2 linked regions of the Arabidopsis thaliana genome follow. The protein of the gene in region 1 interacts with the protein of each later gene in a pairwise test. Each region holds a gene or a part of one and is shown on either strand. Other genes may lie near its edges. The genes, in order: BT4 and MYB11.

Region 1 (4,599 bases):
TTTATAGAGTAACAAACACTATTAAAGTCTATAAATGATCAAATTTTCGTAACAAATAAGGAACCTTTTTTTTCTTAGTTTTTTATTTGTCAGCAATTTAAATATAGATAGATATATATATGAAAATTTCGTAATTTCTTGATTTTGGTTAAGTTTTGTGTTTCTTTGTTGTTGAAGGAATCAGAACCCAATACGAAAGTGATTAGAAAAAGGGATTTTGAAAGGAGAAGAAAATATATACTACACATGATACGATCATTGTTGAGGATTTGGTTTTGTGACAATGAATGTTTCCAACATTACTAATTTAATGAAATAGAAACATGTGATGTGAGTGAGGCCGATTTTGTGTACACTTGTACCACGTCCTCTCAGCTCTTACTGCTTTTGTCTTGTTCTACGTCACTTTTTCCCACCACGATCTTTTCGTTTCCTTTTTTCCATATTTGGATTTATTAAAAATAACAAAGCAAGTTGGGTCCTATAAAATTTGGTAGATTCTTCTTCTTCTGTTCATTTCACAACAAGATGACTCACTGAGCTTATTACCAATTTTGCCACTTAATCACTAAACCGATCCGTAGACCGGATTTGATATTCCAGAGACTCTCTTGGCCGACCAAAATATGTGTCATTTATTCAAACTCATTATGTTACACTTGTTTTAAAGATAGGATCACAAGAAACGCTTAAAACTCGCCCTTCTTGAGATTGACAAAATGTTTTTTAACAGTTTGTCACCGGTAAAAAGAAAGGAGAGCCTCCGATTTTCTTACTCCCCAATACATTCTTCACCAGAAGTTTCCATCTCGACTCATCTTTCTTGCTCTGTTTCTCCATCTTCTCCTTAAGGTTTCTGCATAGAGGGACTCGACATTGATCAGAACCTGCGCAAACACGTGAATGCAGTTCAAGGAGTTGCCACATTCTCTTGCAATGCACGCAACCTCCTGGAACTCTTAGCTTACAGCCTGCGAAATGCCGGATCAGTGATTCTAATCCCTTGCAAGCTTCATAGTTACACGTTGCATGGTTCGGTTTGAAATCTTTATCGTGTGGCCCTATTGTTTTACATCCATCTCTGCATATATGAACAAGTGCTTCCATTGCTTCGTATAGCTGCGAATATATCCTCTGATCATTGCGTTTTCTCATCCTCTCTTTCCGCGTCTGCGTTTATGTTCAAGATTTAGAATTTAGGAGAAAATACAGGGAAAAAAGGAAGTTTATTAAATCACTACTTACATTTGCTTCGATGATTACTGAGTCTCTAACTTCTTTCTCAAGAAAGGGATGGCTTTTCTTCATAGCTGTCCATGCTTCTGTCGCAGAGAGTTCGTTAAAGTGTTTCATGATCATACGGTGAGATATGAGGCTAAGCCGAGGGAAATCACACAGCAGCGCAAGCTGGAACACATCAACCACATTCTCAGTGGTAAGCAAACCATGTTCTAGATGCCATTCACAGACCCGTTTCAGCTGAGGAACCACGTACGCGTGTGACAGAAGTAGCAAATGCATGATAAACTCGTTCATTTCTTCTTTCTCATAGCTACACAAAGGAAATCAGATTTCGTCAGTGAAAAGATCATAAGACGAATGTTAAAAGAGGCAGAGCAAATAAATATAGAGAGCAAGAAGAAATGGAATTTATATATACCAAGAAGAGTAGAGGAAACGGATAAAAACTCGCACAGCATCATGAGGGACACCTCGGATTGATATTGTATGCCACTTGCCATGTCTCTTGGCTTGCTTCAACATGCCTTTGATCACAGTGGAAGCAGTTCCCTATTAATTCAAGAAAGACAATGTCCATATCAACCAAGTCTAGACCTTTCTAATCAACTGCTAAAGTCTGTATTCGCTTAGCTAAAGATCCTAACTACACATTGATAATTATGGTCAAAGGAGTTATAAGGAGAGCTTACAAGGATGTTGGCATGAGCATAGATGATACTGCCATTATCTGTATAGATGACTACATCAGCTTTGTATCCGTCATTGAAAAGACGATCCCACATATCTCTTGTGGCTGTCGAAACGCTGCTATGCCCAAGTTTTTTCTTGAGTCCATCAGATTTTGATGGAAGAGGAGGAGGAATTGGCACAGAAGATGAATCTGCAGATTTGAAAGATTGATGAAGATCAACACAACCTGTCACCATTCTCTTGTTTAGCTTATCTTCTCTTCCCTGCATCAATCAAATGAAAATATATATTGTCGATTCTTTAGCCACAGATAAACTTCATTGTCATTTCTACACGAAATATGTGACTCAGACAACAATTTTCACAGCATTATGTAACCAGATCTCATTTACGATTACAAATCGAATAGGATAAGAACAAATCTCTACATATATATTCACACGAAAATATCAATCAGAAATAACAAGAATTCTTGAAACAGATCGATAGAAAATGTAAGAACAAGAATCAATCAATGCTCTAATTTGTTCCGACATATATACCTTGAAAAGATTCAGACCACAGAATCAGGTTGCTTCGAAGAGGCAAGTCAAACAAAATTAACGAGAAAATCTTCTCCTTGGTAGAAAGAGCATGAGAAGAAACTCTCTCTATAGAGAAGCTTGAGAGATCAGAGATCTCTTACCATTATATAAACACACACACTCACAAAAACAATAGAAGACGACAAAAAAAATCCCACCGAAAGGATAATTTATTGTTTTAATTTCCTTATTATCTCACTTTTTTCTTACTTTTGTGTTCAATAATTTGAAGATATTTTCTTGGTTCATATCATCAACAGAGACACCCACCTGCGAAAATTACCCGAGAGGCGCGTGGAGTCTACGGTTACGAAACGGACGGCTGAGAATCCACGCGCCTTAACGGCCTTTTTTCCTCGTTCTTGAAAAAGCTTTCGTCAAGTTGGTTTTATTATCGGCTTTATCAATTGAAACACGACTCTGCATGTTTTTTTTTTATAAATGATTTAATTTAAGAGCCGTACAAAAACAGATCAGTGTGTCCTTTGTTTTTTTTGTTCTTGTTCGGCGTTACACAGCTCATAATTAGCTGTTCGTTTTTTCAAACTTTTATCCGTATTATTATCCTTTCTTCTTCAAAGATAAATTTAGATTAGTCTTAATTTTAACCACATGATCAGATACTCTCTTCAAAAATGTTAACTAATCGTGAATTATGTTGAGGTCCGCAAAATTGCGTCATAAATATTTTACTGGTCTCTCTTCATATTTCTTAGCTTCGCTTGAATTGATTGTTACCCTTTTTTCCCTTTTTTTCTGTGTTTACTATAATGCCACGTTTCTTCTATCGAATAATCTAAAACAGAAGAAGAAGAAGTCAAAATGCTTTTTATATGATCATTTTCTTGTATTTTTTTTTAGTTTTTGATCGGAGTAAAGTTATAAGAACTTCAAAAAAAAAAAAAAAAAAAAAATGCATGATGATGCCAATCTTTTTCTAACTTTTAAAGAGTATTGGAACATAATACATATATCATGTAAACTGATATTTTTAATTGTAATTTTATATCATATACGGATTTAATTGTAATTTGAGCATCACCCAGTTGTGCAATTGTAGTTATCACAGAAGTGCACATTGCAATGTTGTTGAACAACAGAAATACCTTGACATCATCTCACTGACCCATGCAGCCATGCCTAAACTTGGACCAGAACTCATGTAACCACCGGGTAATGTCAAACCTGAACTCTGAACTCTCAGGTTAGTTAAACTCATCTCTTGTTGTTTCCTTAATTCTAAATCATCACTAAACCTGTATTAAAGTGTCCCAAATTTTTTAGATAGAGATGTATAGATGCACATTTAACCCACCTGAGGAAGAACTTATTAACTATTACTGGAATAACAAGATCACCAGAGAATGATGATCCAAATAAAGGCAACGAATTTGAAGTTCTACTACATTTTCTTCCATTTTCTCCATTATTTTGCAAATACATAAACACATAAAACGAATTTATTTCCATTTTTCCCAGAAATATATAAGAACAAGCTAAAACACAGGGATACATGAATCCTCTCAGAAATCAGAGCATCGACCACGTTGTTCCCAATCGCCGTACCGAGTCGGTTCAGGACCTCTAGGCCCTCCAATCTCACCAGTATCTTCGTTCACAAACTCTCCACCTCCACCACCTTCTCCTTCCTCTTCTTCTTCCTTCTGCATCTGCAGATTCTGTTGAAGATTCTGATCTGGCTTCACGTCCCGGTTCAGATCCTGATTCGGAGATGGAGCTTGCGGCGGAGGAGGTGTACCGGAGCTTAGAAACCGTGACACTGGCTCGAGGAATCTAGAGGAGACGGATCGGCTTGGAGCGATCAAACGTACGATGTTGTTCGTCGCCATTGTTAGATCAGATGTGTCGGCCAAATCAAGAAAGAGATCCGACCTTCACGGTTTGTGATAGTATAGGGTTCGATAGTCATTTAGGTTGGGCCATAATTGGATAATAAGCCCAGTAGTATCTAGGCCCAATCATTTACATGTTTATAAATAAATTAAGAGAATTAGAGAGTAAATTTGGCCCAGTATAATTATGTTTAACAAGCCCATCAGGAGCTAGGCCTAACATGTTTATA
Region 2 (4,452 bases), on another chromosome or scaffold:
GCTATTACATCAAACACCAATACGTCAATTCTCAAAACTAAAAACGGGTGAGTTAACAAAGAGAGCAGAATCACACAAGTTGCAAAACGAAAATACCATTGTTGATCTCAGCGAATTTGCGAGTCGCTTCCTCATTTCCTTGATTCTTATCGGGATGATACTTCAAAGCTAGTTTCCTATAAGCTCTCTTGATCTGTTCATCAGATGCACCTTTCGGGACTTGCAACACATCGTAGTAACTCTTCCTAAATCCACAACACAGATTTTCTAAGCATTCACATTTTCCACACATTTCTGAAGGAATCGAAAGATGTTCTTACCCGGCAAGGACGCAGATGGCGTAGGAAAGAGCGAACAGTACGATACACAGCTCCGACCACCGAATCGCCATGGAAACGGAAATCGGATCTCTCCCAAGGATTACTCCAACCTGAGATTCGTTTCGATTTTAACAATGAAACCTCACAGAATGAACAAGAACGAAGATCTTCTTCGCTGATTTTTATGATTGGAAAACTCGAATCACTCTCTCTACTTGTTTTCGTGGAAACGATTCCAAAACTCGAGCCTCGTGGTCGGGTTACGTGTACACTGCAATGCTTAACCAATCAGGATTAAGTCTCTGACGATCGTAACCAATAAATATTAGCCACGTGGATAAACCAACGTCGAATCGCTGACTGTTCTTTTCGTCGACTTTAATGAGTACGACGTCGTTATACTCATATAATCTATACAAGGCGCATTAATAATGAAGCGGGCCTGTAACTCCCCTACGATTGTTATTCAATAAATGTGGCCTAACCCGATTAAAAACCCTAGGTTACTGGGCCCATACAAAATCGAGATTGTTTTATGTAAACCGATCTGGGGAGGCCAGATCCAAACTAGTTTTGCATATTTATGCATTATGGATTTTGTACCTACCATATTAAACTTGTTAATATAATGACAAAACCGCTGCTATGAGAAAATTTATTTCTTTAATCTTTATATAATCTAGACTATCTTAGTCACACATTACGTTGTGCATTGGTTAAACACTACTGGAGTATAAAACAAAAAAAGGTGGTTAAGTAATAAATACATATTTTGTTGCTTATTAATTACATGCAAAGAAACATAGACTGGTTTGGACAATCATGTCATATGTCAGGTCTCTTGATTCTTCGCATCTTCGACGAAACATTATTTACTAGACATACAATAATAACTAGACATCTCACACGAGTGGTCCCGATCCCCCACTAATACCATTTTACTGTCCATTGAAAAATAAAGAAACGTTGCTGACAATAGTAAACTAAATAAAATTGGTGTTTACATATTTTCCACGATACGAAGTAAAATATTGAGAAAGTATTACGCTTATGATTTTATTAATTGTTAGATGATTAACTGAATCCGAATTGAGCAGTATGATTAGAAACAAGTCAGAAATAATAAATGTATAACTAGTATTTAAAAAAAAAAAAAATGTATAACTAGTATTTAAAAACTATAGTTAGCATCTAATTAGAGACACTAGGACGACCCAGCTGGACAGCTGGTTAGTAGCTCTCGACCTATGATGAGCGCCTACGACTTTTGTTTCAACATAGACAAACGTGGCTCGTTCTATCACCTGAATATATAACCCACTCCTCTCTATTCTTGCATGTCACTCCTATAAATATTTAATACTAAACCAATCACTTTTTGTTGTGTCGTCACTTTACTTCTCTTTAAATAATCTCTTTCTCTAGTGATTGACTTTAGGAACAAGTGAAGTGAGTGATTTTTAATAATCGCCGGCCGAGAGAATGGGAAGGGCGCCGTGCTGTGAGAAGGTAGGAATTAAGAAGGGGCGCTGGACGGCGGAGGAAGACCGGACTCTCTCCGACTACATTCAGTCCAACGGCGAAGGATCATGGCGTTCTCTTCCCAAAAATGCCGGTAAAGTTTTTTTTATCTATACAGTACTCTGTCTCTCGACTATCGCATGCATCTCATAAGATAGTTTTTTTGTTTGGTCAAAATTTATAAGAGAATCTATATGCATCGAGAAGTTAATTAATCTTACGTACGGTTCAATTATACACCATGAGTTGTAAAAAAAATTAAAATAGAGACTTGATTTTTTTTTTTTCTATTTAATGTATCAGTTTCTATAAGGAATGCATAATATTTTAAAGTACATAAAGTGTTTATTGATAATTCAGACCAAATTGCCTTCTTGTTTTATTTACATGTATATATGGACTGTAACATCACAAATAAAACGATAATTTATTTCAATATTTAGGAAAAGATGAGTAATCGCTGCAGGCATTATTATGCCTTAATTAAAATCTGACGTACATTTTAAAAAGGGCTAAAGAGATGTGGAAAGAGCTGTAGATTGAGATGGATAAACTATTTGAGATCAGACATCAAGAGAGGAAACATAACTCCCGAAGAAGAGGACGTCATTGTTAAACTGCATTCCACTTTGGGAACCAGGTAACTTTTTCATTTGAACAAAAGTTTATTAATGTCGATATATTTCCAATAGAAAAAGTACACTATCACGTGAAATCATAAATCAAACTGTTGCTGTGTAACGTCGTGAAAAAAAACGTTTTTACAACAAAAAATAAGAATAGCGTCAACGCTAATTAAATTGCAGGTGGTCAACAATTGCGAGCAATCTACCGGGAAGAACAGACAACGAAATAAAAAACTATTGGAATTCTCATCTCAGCCGTAAACTCCACGGTTACTTCAGAAAACCAACTGTCGCCAATACCGTCGAGAATGCGCCTCCGCCTCCTAAGCGTAGACCTGGAAGAACCAGCAGATCCGCCATGAAACCCAAATTTATCCTAAACCCTAAAAACCACAAAACCCCTAATTCTTTTAAAGCAAACAAAAGTGACATCGTTTTGCCAACTACGACAATAGAGAATGGAGAGGGAGACAAAGAAGACGCATTAATGGTGTTGTCAAGTAGTAGCTTAAGTGGAGCAGAGGAACCCGGTTTAGGACCATGTGGTTATGGAGACGATGGCGATTGTAACCCAAGCATTAATGGCGACGATGGAGCTTTGTGTCTCAATGACGACATTTTCGATTCTTGTTTTCTATTGGACGACTCTCATGCTGTCCACGTGTCCTCATGTGAGTCGAACAACGTAAAAAACTCTGAGCCATATGGAGGGATGTCAGTTGGGCACAAAAATATCGAAACGATGGCTGATGATTTCGTTGACTGGGACTTTGTATGGAGAGAAGGTCAAACCCTTTGGGACGAAAAAGAGGATCTTGATTCGGTTTTGTCGAGGCTGTTAGATGGAGAGGAAATGGAATCTGAGATCAGACAAAGGGACTCCAACGACTTTGGAGAACCGTTGGATATTGACGAAGAAAACAAGATGGCTGCTTGGCTTTTGTCTTGAAAGATTTGACACCATGCATATGCCTTTTTCTCCGTTAGATTTTAGCAAAGACCCCACGTGGCAGGATCTGGTCGGTTTGTCAATAGAACATGTTTGTCCCCTAGCGTTCGTTTTTTAGTTTTAAATGTATTTATATTCTTTTTTATTTCTTTTCATGTGTAAATACGATTTTGGCGGTGGCAAATAAACAAAATAAAGTCGATCTTCTTAGTTCAATTACATATAAGCGATCCATTGATGATTACACCATTGATAGCCAACTTAAGTAATCTTTCGACTTTCGTATATATGTATACAAATATAATAAGAAATTTAAAATACAAAAAAAATATAAATAAAATTCAGTTCCATATTGTGAATCAGCAATTCTCACTATTGGTACATAGTCCAACACTTGCTAGTTGCATTCTAGGTGGAAGTATTTCAAAGAAACAAGTTTCTCTGATAGACTAATAATAGACCAAAACCCGAGCAAATTTCAAAGCATGTCGCCAACCACAACTCTTTTTTGTGTGTAAATGTTCACTGGTAAAGTGGTAATTAATGAACGTTTTGAATTTTGATTAAAAGCTATAAGACCATCTCCAACGAGAGGATGTAATCAAAAAATTGTTGGGCTCTCTTGTTTAATGACAATAAAAATAAATTAAAACTGATAAAAATCAAGAGAGTCGGCTTTCTGGAGAGAGTTTTGAGAATTTGAGAGAACCGTCGATGTGGCAACATGTGATTGGGTTTTCAATTTCAACAAAAAAATAAATGTGTGCGCGTTCTGTTCTATCTTCTTTCTCCTCTCTGCCCAAACGAAATTGACCAAAAGATGCAAAGCCCAATCATCGTTTCTTCTGAAAACTTTTCGCATTTGATATCTTTTCTTTGAAACTGAAATCAAGATACACAAACTGAAACCAATTTGTTCACCAAAAGAAAATAAAAATGCGTGGGTTTCGATTTCAAAGATATTCAGGAAAAGATCTCCGATAGCTTTCGTCTATGGCAACACTCTTTTCAATTCTGGGTTCGAGCTTCGTGGTTT

The links.
Region 2: the proteins of BT4 (region 1) and MYB11 interact in a two-hybrid assay, tested with the Arabidopsis thaliana proteins (one large-scale study listed by BioGRID).

What each region holds. Positions count from the first base shown.
Region 1 is NC_003076.8:26,930,329-26,934,927, forward strand, and holds BT4 (BTB and TAZ domain protein 4), read right to left. Parts: upstream 2,498-4,599; 5' UTR 2,202-2,497; coding exon 1,932-2,201; intron 1,792-1,931; coding exon 1,661-1,791; intron 1,553-1,660; coding exon 1,246-1,552; intron 1,171-1,245; coding exon 727-1,170; 3' UTR 612-726; downstream 1-611. Other genes in the region: AT5G67490 (succinate dehydrogenase assembly factor), read right to left, coding at 4,040-4,366. UniProt on the Arabidopsis thaliana protein: May act as a substrate-specific adapter of an E3 ubiquitin-protein ligase complex (CUL3-RBX1-BTB) which mediates the ubiquitination and subsequent proteasomal degradation of target proteins.
Region 2 is NC_003074.8:23,152,956-23,157,407, forward strand, and holds MYB11 (myb domain protein 11), read left to right. Parts: upstream 1-1,674; 5' UTR 1,675-1,802; coding exon 1,803-1,935; intron 1,936-2,351; coding exon 2,352-2,481; coding exon of another isoform or gene 2,482-2,485; intron 2,486-2,647; coding exon 2,648-3,416; 3' UTR 3,417-3,630; downstream 3,631-4,452. Other genes in the region: ATERDJ3B (DNAJ heat shock family protein), read right to left, coding at 1-1, 97-245, 321-391; AT3G62615 (uncharacterized protein), read right to left, coding at 2,405-2,485, 2,867-2,899. UniProt on the Arabidopsis thaliana protein: Modulates overall growth by reducing the proliferation activity of meristematic cells and delaying development. Flavonol-specific transcription activator involved in the regulation of several genes of flavonoid biosynthesis.